Linked DNA regions of Drosophila melanogaster. The protein of the gene in region 1 interacts with the protein of each later gene in a pairwise test. Each region holds a gene or a part of one and is shown on either strand. Other genes may lie near its edges.

Region 1 (4,737 bases):
GTGGCCCGGTTGAATCAGACCATAGTAACGATCCTTAATGGCGTCCAGCAGTCGCATAAACTGATCCGCACACTTGGGTATTTTCAGATCGTTCTCGAATGAGTTGGGATCGATTAGCTGGAATGGCGTCTCCGCCTGCAGAATGTCATCCATTTTTTCCGCACAAACTAGGTAAGCACATTATTAAATAACAGCAATCGAGGGCAGCGACCATATCTCACATCGTTCTTCCAGTGAAATCCAGCGTAGCAAATACATGGGTTGTGTGATTACAGAAATCGCGCTGGGAAAACTAGCCGGATACCCAAATGTTTCCCGTAACTCGGATTCGAAGGCCAGCGTCTCATCAAGTAGATGGGCAAATAGTATCTGGTCCTGGGCAATCTGTTCTATGTCCACCGCCAACTTTTCAATGGCTAACTGCACCAGTCCTCGAATAAACTCCAGCTAAAAGAGTAACACAATTAGAATTTTGAGTGGTCTGGTAAGACACCGAGACACTTACCCTGAGATTGTAGTCCAGCTTACCCGCTTTAATGGCAGCTGGCTGAAATGTTTTGCCTACAAAGAAATGCGTCTCCTTGCCCCAGTTGAGAATTTGCGTATAGAACCACTCGGGCTTGTCTAATCTATTGGTTTGTCTGGTGCCTGTGAAGTGAAATTGGAAACGCTGGCGATACGGCGCCAATAGGAGCTGCACCACCCGGTTGATGGGCTGGCACACGATGCTGGGCGTGATGCTTTGCAGTGGCGCCCGCTCTTCGGCTGGAGATTTGATGAGGAACATGTACTCCGCTAGCAGTTGCGCCTTGGCAGTGTCTCGTGCGGACGAATAGTTAAGGGCCTGCTGTTCTAGATGCGCCCAGCGCATGCTCTTCAGTACAGCCTCGAATGCGCTGGACAGGCGCTTGAGGAGCAGCTTGTGCCAGTAGATGGCAGTGCGTTCGGCAAAGGATTTCAGCGACTGTGCCTGCACAGCATGCAGGCGACCCACTACGCTGTGCTCGCAGTCGTTGCCCTCGTAGAGGGTTAGGTAGATATTAACCAGTTTGTCCTCGTCCTTGCCATTGATGGCATTGCCTAGGGCAGCGCTTATCTCCTGAATGTCCTGCACCAGGAGCAGATACTGTTGCAAACGCTGCAGTTGTCGCACCTTGTCTAAATCCTCTGCCACTCCCTCAAGCACGGGCTGGCACTCCTTTAGCTTTCTTTTCAGCTTGTCCTCGAAGTGAGCCAGCTTTTCCAGCTCGAAGTCGATGCTCTCGCAAACCTGTTGCTGGCATTGGAAGGCGGTTTTGTAGCAGGACACGTTCTGGGGATCCTCGTAGTCGAGCTGTTGAAATATATGGATCAAAATCATGATCTAGATAGATAGATATTCGTCCAACCGTTTGGGACAAAACTTGGAGGTGCTTTTTGTAGTGGCTAACGAGGTGGCTGGCCCGGTGTAGCTGGCTGGCATCCTTTCCGATCTCCTCGTTTAGTCGCGCCACTATGCGCAACTCCATTTCGCTGAGTTCTGCATGCATTTCGGTGCAGCAATAGCTAAAACAACATTTAAATTAAAAGCTAAACGGGCCACGAACCACGTATAAAAAATAAATAATTTAGCCAGTGTGACCATGTCGCAATACAATAGGCTAGACTGGTGCAACGCATACGCGGGCACAAAAGTTTTAAATGAAATTAATTTAATATTACAATTTTTATAAGATCTATAATAACCACAGCCAAGATGAATAGAAAGCTACAAAAATAGACAAGATTATATTATAGTTTGCTTAACTTTTTCTTATTCTTCAATCTCCCCTCGCCAATGCGGTCTTACACTTTCCAGTGTGGCTGCCACTAACAAACGGTAACACTGCAGAAGCGGCATTGTTCAAATTGAACAGGTGTGGCGTCGTTTTCTTTTTGGATCTTCTTTCCAGAAAGTCGATTGGAAAATGTTTACGCCCAGGCAGAAAGGATACGGGAATGGCTTCATTCACTCGCCACAAACACCTCTCAGCTTCAGCCGGGAACTGCGGCAGGTGCTGCAGGAGCGGAATCTTCTAACTGCCAAGTCGCGTAGGAAAGGTGAGCAGCACACAAAGGCGGCGCCAGGTGTTCAACAACTAATTGTGACCATTCGGTTCATGCAGTTTGCTCCATGCTGGACAGCAACAACAGCAGTCCGATTGGCTCCCCCAATCCGGACGCGGGAAAAAGATTGGGTTTCCGTCGCCAGGCCATCCAGGAGATTATTTCGTCGGAGAAATCGTATCTGGAGCAGCTGGAGCTGCTGATGAACTTTTTTGTGCGTCCCTTGAAGGAACAGGCTATCATCGATTGCTCCAATCACACGCTGCTCTTCGGTCAAATCGAGATGATTCACAATCTTAACGGAGAATTCCTGCGCGAACTGGAGGCGAACATGGAGAATGTTGCGCACGCATTCCTGAAAATGGCTCCTTTCTTCAAACTGTACTCGGTGTACGCCTTTGACTACCGCGGAGCTCTGTTCATCATCCAGGATTTGATCAGCAAGAATCCGGTGTTCCGAAAGTTTCTGGAGCAGACCGAGAGTCGTCCGGAGGTGCAACGCAAGCTAAATTCGCTGATGATTGTGCCCATCCAGCGGGTACCGCGGTATAAGCTTCTTCTGGAGCAGGTACTGCTCTACACGAGTCCCGCAGATGCTGACTATAAGTTGTTGAAAGGTATGATCTTGAAGTTAATGTTAATCAGATATCGAATAATTGCGCTCATCCTTACAGAATCCGTCAAGGAGATCGAGGCCACCGCCAGTCACATAAACACCTGTGTGGAGGAGCAGGAAATTACCCAGTATCTGATTCATTTGCAGAACTCTTTGGTGAATCGCACACCGAACATTGTGAAGCCCTCGCGACGGGTAATCAAGGAGGGTGTACTGCAGAAGATCACTCACAAGGGCACGGAAATCAAGCGCTACTGTGTTCTCATGTCCGACATCTTCATGTACTGCAAGATGATCAAGGAACGTGCGCCCAACACCGTTGTGGAAAACTCACTGGAGTGTTGCTGTATTTTTCCGTTGAAAAAATGCAAAGTGTACGAAATGCTGCCGGGCAACTTTAAGCTTACTTGCCAAAGTGATGGCATAATCTTCGGTAGCGGCGATGTGCAGCTGTCGCGCACTTGGGTGGGCTTCATCCGCGATGCCATCGATCTGCACGTTCAGTGCCGAAAGACACTGCGAAAGGACTCGAGCAAAAGAACGCCCATACGCAAGAAGGACATGAAGAAGTTCGGAGCTGATTATGTACTGAGTCCCAATAAGCGCAAATGCGTAAGTACCAAACAGTCACATTTACAAGATAAACATTCATGTTTCTAAATAATCTATAGGAATATGATACGGTTTTCCGCAATAAGAATCGCAGCACGGATTCCGAAGAGGAGACCGAGGACAGTGCTTGCTTTTCTCGAAAGCGAAAAGTGGCCAGTGGAATTTTAAGGGCTCCAAATGGAAATCCAATGGGAAAGGCCTCCTCCTCCTCCTCCTCCTCTGTTTCCATGAAACGTGTTGCACCACCACCACCAGCTCCTCCACCGCCTCCGGCAGTGCAGATGCGCCACCAGCCGGGAAGGCCTGGAGAGCTGGCCACCGCCAGCAAGGAGAACCGCATCTCAAAGTTGTACAAAAAGATTGCTGCCGGTGACAAGGTGGCCAATGTACGCGGCATCCTCAAACGCAGCAATGTACCGGCGCCTAACAATGATCACGATCCAAGCTACGGCTTTGCCAGTCGCTACTCCGATTCCAAATCGTATTTCAGGGCCCACAATGTGGACAACACCATACCAACATTTGTAAAGCGAGAGGATCTGTTCAACGGGGACAATATGTTCCCTGTGCATTTAAAGAGTCATGAGGAGATCTGCACGCCGCCGCAGAAAAAGCGCGTCAAGTTCGACGACACCTTGGATGCAGTGTCTCCGGTTTTGGTCGAGAAGCCTTTTGCTTTCTCCAGCGAGTCGTCCTCCGCCCTAAAACCCACATCTTTGCGTGAGCGGATTTATGATTTCTTTGCTAATCTATTCTAGAACTAGATGACATCAAACTAAATCGTATACAAACATATATCATCGTTTACAACATTTATACACATCAATAAATCCATTAACAATTATAATCATTTCGAGTGTCGCAGTTGGCAAATCTTTTGCATGAATTCATCCACAGCTGGTTCACTGATCTCTTCCAGCCAGTTGCCATTTCGCTTAAAATGCGACCCAATTATCACTGCGTGCGCATCTTTGTAGTAACTGTCGATATTATCCCTGGTCACCCCAGAGCCAATTATCAGGGGAACCTTAACCCTGCCGGATAGCTGCTGCAGATCTTCGGGACTGGCTGCATGACCCGTCGCTGTACCCGTAATGATGATACCATCGGTCATGAAGAACTCTGCCGCATGGGCCGTTTCCAAGAGACTGACATCGGCGGTTATGGCATGTGAGCTGTGCTTCTTCTTCAGATCCGTGAAGATGAGCACATCCTCGGCATCGATGAGCTTCCGGTAGCGCAGCAAATCGCCCGCACAGGCATCCGTGAAACCCTCATCCGCCACGTGGCCAAAGACGAATCCCTCAGCGCGTATAAACTGCAGCTGACTGGCTTTGGCAATGGCCAGTGCTTGTTTATTGCCGCAGGCGAGCACTTGGACACCACACGGAATCTCCTGGGGGATCACCTCGCGCACCGCCCGT
Region 2 (5,553 bases), on another chromosome or scaffold:
CGCCGTTTCACCCTTCGACTACAAAACCAGTCGGAACTAATAGTTTCGTCTTTTGGCAGATCAGTATGAAGCTTCTGTTGGTTCTTCCACTTCTGGTGGCTGTGGTCTCTGGCCAGGGATTCGGAGGCGGTGGATTTGGAGGCGGATTTGGAGGTGGACTCGGAGGCGGATTTGGAGGTGGACTCGGAGGCTTGGGCAACAATCGAGTGGGTGGAGCTTTACAAAATGTGGCCGGCGCCGTTCAGAATGCCGTGGGCAACATTGCCAAGGCTGTGCCCAAGGTGCCGCTGCTCTCAAACGTCCAGGACTTTGGTGACTTCTTGGTGAGATAGGCAGCATTGATCAATTTCAAAGGTAGAAGTAAAACTTCAACCGATTTGCAGAGCCAATCTGGAAAGACCTATCTCTCCGCCGCTGATCGCGCTCTTCATGAAGGTGCCTTCGCTTCCACCAAGAACCTGGTGGAAGCCGGAAACGCAGCCTTTGCCCAAGGAGTGCACACCTTCAAGCAGGCCGTGAACGCCTTCGCCGATCTGACCCACTCTGAGTTCCTTAGTCAATTGACCGGTCTGAAGAGAAGTCCGGAGGCTAAGTAAGTGCTAACAAACCATTTGCACAGCCGGCATAGGATTTTATCAATTCTATATCTGCACCCAGGGCTCGAGCTGCTGCCAGTTTGAAGTTGGTCAACCTGCCTGCGAAGCCCATCCCGGATGCCTTCGATTGGCGCGAGCATGGCGGTGTCACACCAGTCAAATTCCAGGGTACCTGTGGCTCCTGTTGGGCCTTTGCCACCACTGGTGCCATTGAGGGACACACCTTCCGCAAGACCGGCAGCCTGCCCAATCTCTCTGAGCAGAATCTGGTCGACTGTGGTCCGGTGGAGGACTTTGGCCTGAATGGCTGCGATGGTGGCTTCCAGGAGGCCGCATTCTGTTTCATCGATGAGGTGCAAAAGGGTGTGTCCCAGGAGGGGGCCTATCCCTACATTGACAACAAGGGCACGTGCAAGTACGATGGCAGCAAGTCCGGAGCCACCCTCCAGGGATTCGCCGCTATTCCGCCCAAGGACGAGGAGCAGCTGAAGAAGGTGGTGGCCACTCTGGGACCAGTTGCCTGTTCGGTGAATGGTTTGGAGACTCTTAAGAACTACGCCGGTGGCATCTATAACGACGATGAGTGCAACAAGGGCGAGCCGAACCACTCCATTCTGGTCGTCGGTTACGGATCGGAGAAAGGACAGGATTACTGGATCGTCAAGAACTCCTGGGACGACACCTGGGGCGAAAAGGGCTACTTCCGCCTGCCTCGCGGCAAAAACTACTGCTTCATTGCTGAGGAGTGCTCCTATCCCGTGGTTTAAGCGGGGAATCCGAAATTTATGGCAAAATTTACTGTGCAGTTTGTGATGTGGACTTGGCGTTGGTTGCGTCCATTTCTTAAATAAAAGTCTTTTCTTAATTATAATGCTGCTAAATTAGAGTAGTTAAACGAAAGTAATGCAATGCATTGCTTTGCTTAAATATTTACAGATAACAAATTAAAGAGGAATAAACAAGAATCTTTTGGAAATTTAAAACTATTCACGGGTTAATTGGGCACTAAACGAACTTTAGAGGAGTTCAGCAATTTGATGTGAACAATAACCAGACCTTTATGTCCAAACAAGAAGATCTAGATATTCGGGTAAATTAAAAAAATGTTTGGGGATAGTAACGGAAATAACGCTTGACATTTTAAAACCTGTTAAAAGCGTTGCCAGATGCGGATATTTACAGCAAGAAAGCAAGTAATCGATGATTTCCCCAGTTGGGGATATCGATTATTGCCAAATTTGTGTAAACATCGATGGTATCGCTGTACCGAGACAACAATAATAGAAATAAATTAAGTCAATTGGCGAATTAAACTATATTAGGCGCAGAAAAAACGGCGGACATTTGATGAGCAGCAGGCGGGGAATGCCGTGACGAAAGGCGGCAGTGCGTCCGATGGAAGGCCACCGCGCAACAGTGTTCCTGCAGGTGTGTCTGCTCCGGAAGCGATGTTCTGATCAGAAGAGACCAGCCCACTTTTGGGAAAGTGGGCGTTGTCACCAGAGCGCACGAAACCAAAGCCCCCGGCCACCTGTCTTTCTCCCACTGTGTGTGTGCTAATCGAGGTTTCCCCTTGCCCCTTCCTTTCCAGAAATGTACGCGATAGTGGTGCATGTGCATTGCGACTAATCCAAAGAGTCCCCCTGTGGTCATAACGCATTTAACAACCATCGCAGCCAAATAGTCACGTTTCTCCAGAGATCCCCGTGTGTCTGCACTTTCCCCATCCCCGATAACCCCGCCCCAAGCATGGACGAAGATATCCTAAACGCTGTGGAGTCCCTGTTCGGCAAGGATGTCAAGATCGTGGACTGCGAAACCTCATCCTCGCTGCAGCAGGAGGAGGTGTTGCTGGTCAACGGAGTGCCGGTGAAGCTGGATGGGCTGCCGGCGGATGATGCCAGTGCCATAAAGGCAGCTTTGCTGGAGGGGCAGATGCCATCGGTTGAGCACCTGAATCAATTGCTCTTCCGCGCCGGATTGGCCCAACAGCCCATCGAGGTAGAGACCTCGTTGACCGTCAAGTCCTCTCTGACCACCACGGAGGAGGTGCTGGTCTCGCGCAACGGACAAATCCTAGACGAACGCACCGTGGAGACCAAGGAAAACTTTAACCATCAGTCGCACCAGAAAGAGATCTGGCATCCTGTCAAGCAGCAGTCGGCCTTGGCGCGTGCCACTCCCGAGAATGCCCTCAAATACCGAACCACTTCGAATTCCACGTTCGCATCGCAGGCCACAGACTCGGACGAGCGTCCAGTTGATCCTTTGGGCCGGCAGCTGAACCAAACCTTCTCGAATGCTTCCCTTATGTCCAGCAGCTCTGCTATTACTGGATCCGATCAGGTCATCGGATCTGTATCATCCACCACTATTGGGGACAAAAGCTCGAATATAAGCAGCTGCGACTCCGGGCACGATGGCCTCTTCCACAGCGTGTCGATGAGTGCACCCTGGTCACATCCACGTGACACCTTAACCGACTCTTTGTACTGCGACATTCCCAGCTCCGCAGATGAGTCGGATGCGGTTTCTATCCTAGTAAGTTTGAACGGATTTGCCAGTCGCTAAATAACTAATAATTTACCTAAATTAGAACACCCACTTGAAGATCACAGAGCCATTCGATTGCCAAACAGCGCCAGTTTACGCCAAAGACATACCCAAGAAGGGCAACCTGGATTCGGTGGTCAACCTGCTTATCAATAATAATACTAAGGATTTGCGGTTTGCCTTTCTGACCACTTCCCGCTTGTTTTCACCACCACACCAGCTGCTTTCCAAAATCATTGCCAAGATTGATAATGAGGAGGAAAACGTGTTACGACTTTTGAACGAATGGCTAGACACCTGTCCCGGGGACTTTAGCCATGAACTGCTATTGCAGGAGCTGGAAAATAAGCGTAATGTAAAAGGATTGGCAGCTTTTTTGGATGGAATTCCCCAAGCTTTGGCGCAAAAGGACGAAAATGGACGAAGTCAACTAAATAACCTGCTTACCAAGCAATCGTCGGCCAGCTCGTTGGGACGTCAGAGCAGTATTAAGTCGCTGAAACGCTTTGCCGCCAATGTCTACAAAACAGACAATGTGCTAAACAACTGCAGCAGTGCCTTCGAGTTGGCTCACCAACTTTATGCCATCGAGTACGCCTATCTGTCACAAATACGTCTTGAGGAGTTTGTGGAAATCCTCGAAAAGGATGAGCTGAAGACCTGCATAAGCCAAACCAAGGCGGGCACCTTGGGTTCGAATTGCATCAGCCAGGTGACAATCGACAGTTACGTGCAGTGGTTCAACCAGCTAAGCTACTTGACTGCAACGGAAATATTAAAGGTGAGTACTAAAAAAAAAATTAACCATTAATCAAATAAAAAATATGATTCGTTCGTTCCTAGTTGGGCAAAAAGTCCCAGAGAGCACAAATGATCGACTTCTGGGTGGAAACAGCTCTGGAATGCTTTAACACAGGCAACTTCAACAGCTTGATGGCCATTCTAACAGCATTGAATCTTACTGCCATAGCTCGCCTAAAGAAAACGGTGAGTTTTCGTTAAGTAAAACGAGTGAAGTCTGATTTTACTACTATTTTTTATAGTGGGCCAAAGTGCAGACGACAAAGTTCGAGGGTTTGGAGCATCAAATGGATCCCAGTTCGAACTTTCTTAACTACAGATCCACCATGAAGGCAGCTGTTTGGCGTTCGGAAAGGGAAATGGCCAACGAAATTGAGCGTGCCATCATCCCATTCTTCTCGCTGTTCCTCAAAGATTTGCATGCCATTAACGAGAGCCATGAAACAAAGTGAGTTTGTTTGTGCATAAATGAGCTCTGTTTCGAGATTAACCGAATTCAAATCCGTTTGCAGATTGGCCAACGGATACATAAACTTTGAGAAGTGCCTTCATTTGGGCACCCAGCTGCGGAATTTTGGCAAATGGCAGCGATTGGACTGTCCATACGAGCAGTTGCCTAGTGTGGTGTCCTACCTGTTGAAGGCGGAGGTGCTGAGCGAGGATCTTTTGATGAAGGCCTCCTACGAAAGCGAGCCACCCGAGACCGGCGAGGAGAAGGATCACTACAAGACGTTGAAAGCTGCAAGGAAATCGAACACATAATCACCAATCATTAACGACAATCCTCGAGATAGTGCAATACAATACAAAACGATGCAATAATTCTCGCACTCTTTCGTTGGCGTTCCATTTTCACATTTTGCATTTGTATCGCGATAAAACAGTAACAATAATAACTCTTACACTTCCACTGTGTTTGTTAATTTGTACTTAAGCTTAGACGACGGTATATATTTATTTGCATTCGAATTATATATATACAAGTGACGGGCATTTAATTAGAAACACCAAAAATATGCATAAAATTACTAAAGTAATGTTTTAAATGTTGTATTTTAGCAGTTATATACCCCGAAAAATACATAAAAATAAAAGACTTCGATAAATCCCAAAGTTTTCCCTAACGAATGGTGGCGAACTTCTGAAAGTCGACCGTTCCAAACTTGCCAAACAGTTCCAGAGGATAGTGCTTGCCCTCGACGGGCGCATGGATGCGGATCTGGCGCATGTGGGTGTCCCTGCCATTCTGGTGGTTCGAGATCACAGCAATCTGAAGCATGAAGGTGCGTATGGACTTGACGTTCCCATCCTTAATGGGTATCTGCACCCAGCCGGTGGGTTCGGTCAGGTCCATCACCTGCAGCTCCTGCAAGTCGTTGAAGTTCGTTCCAGATCGTATGGAGATCCTTGATGGCGTGTAACTCTCGTCCAGCTTGTAATCCGTGTATATGTAAATCTGACTGATGTTCGTACGCTTGTGGAATTGAATGTTGACCAGGTGGGGAAGCTGACCGTCCGACTGCCAATAAGTATCCATGATGTTGTCTCGCAAACGCTCTACACCAAATCCTGAAGGCCAAAGAAAATTGTAGAATATGTAAGG

What was found.
Region 2: the proteins of RhoGEF4 (region 1) and CG4853 interact in a two-hybrid assay, tested with the Drosophila melanogaster proteins (one large-scale study listed by BioGRID).

What each region holds. Positions count from the first base shown.
Region 1 is NT_037436.4:7,320,520-7,325,256, reverse strand, and holds RhoGEF4 (Rho guanine nucleotide exchange factor 4), read left to right. Parts: upstream 1-1,845; 5' UTR 1,846-1,946; coding exon 1,947-2,079; intron 2,080-2,109; exon of another isoform or gene 2,110-2,144; coding exon 2,145-2,702; intron 2,703-2,759; coding exon 2,760-3,313; intron 3,314-3,372; coding exon 3,373-4,071; 3' UTR 4,072-4,158; downstream 4,159-4,737. Other genes in the region: Rint1 (RAD50 interactor 1), read right to left, coding at 1-167, 222-447, 506-1,333, 1,389-1,529; CG8607 (uncharacterized protein), read right to left, coding at 4,161-4,737.
Region 2 is NT_033778.4:17,512,393-17,517,945, forward strand, and holds CG4853 (uncharacterized protein), read left to right. Parts: upstream 1-1,824; 5' UTR 1,825-2,024; exon of another isoform or gene 2,025-2,187; 5' UTR 2,188-2,345; coding exon 2,346-3,137; intron 3,138-3,192; coding exon 3,193-3,930; intron 3,931-3,992; coding exon 3,993-4,136; intron 4,137-4,192; coding exon 4,193-4,398; intron 4,399-4,462; coding exon 4,463-4,712; 3' UTR 4,713-5,053; downstream 5,054-5,553. Other genes in the region: CtsK2 (cathepsin K2), read left to right, coding at 1-323, 384-592, 658-1,363; APC10 (anaphase promoting complex subunit 10), read right to left, coding at 5,071-5,519.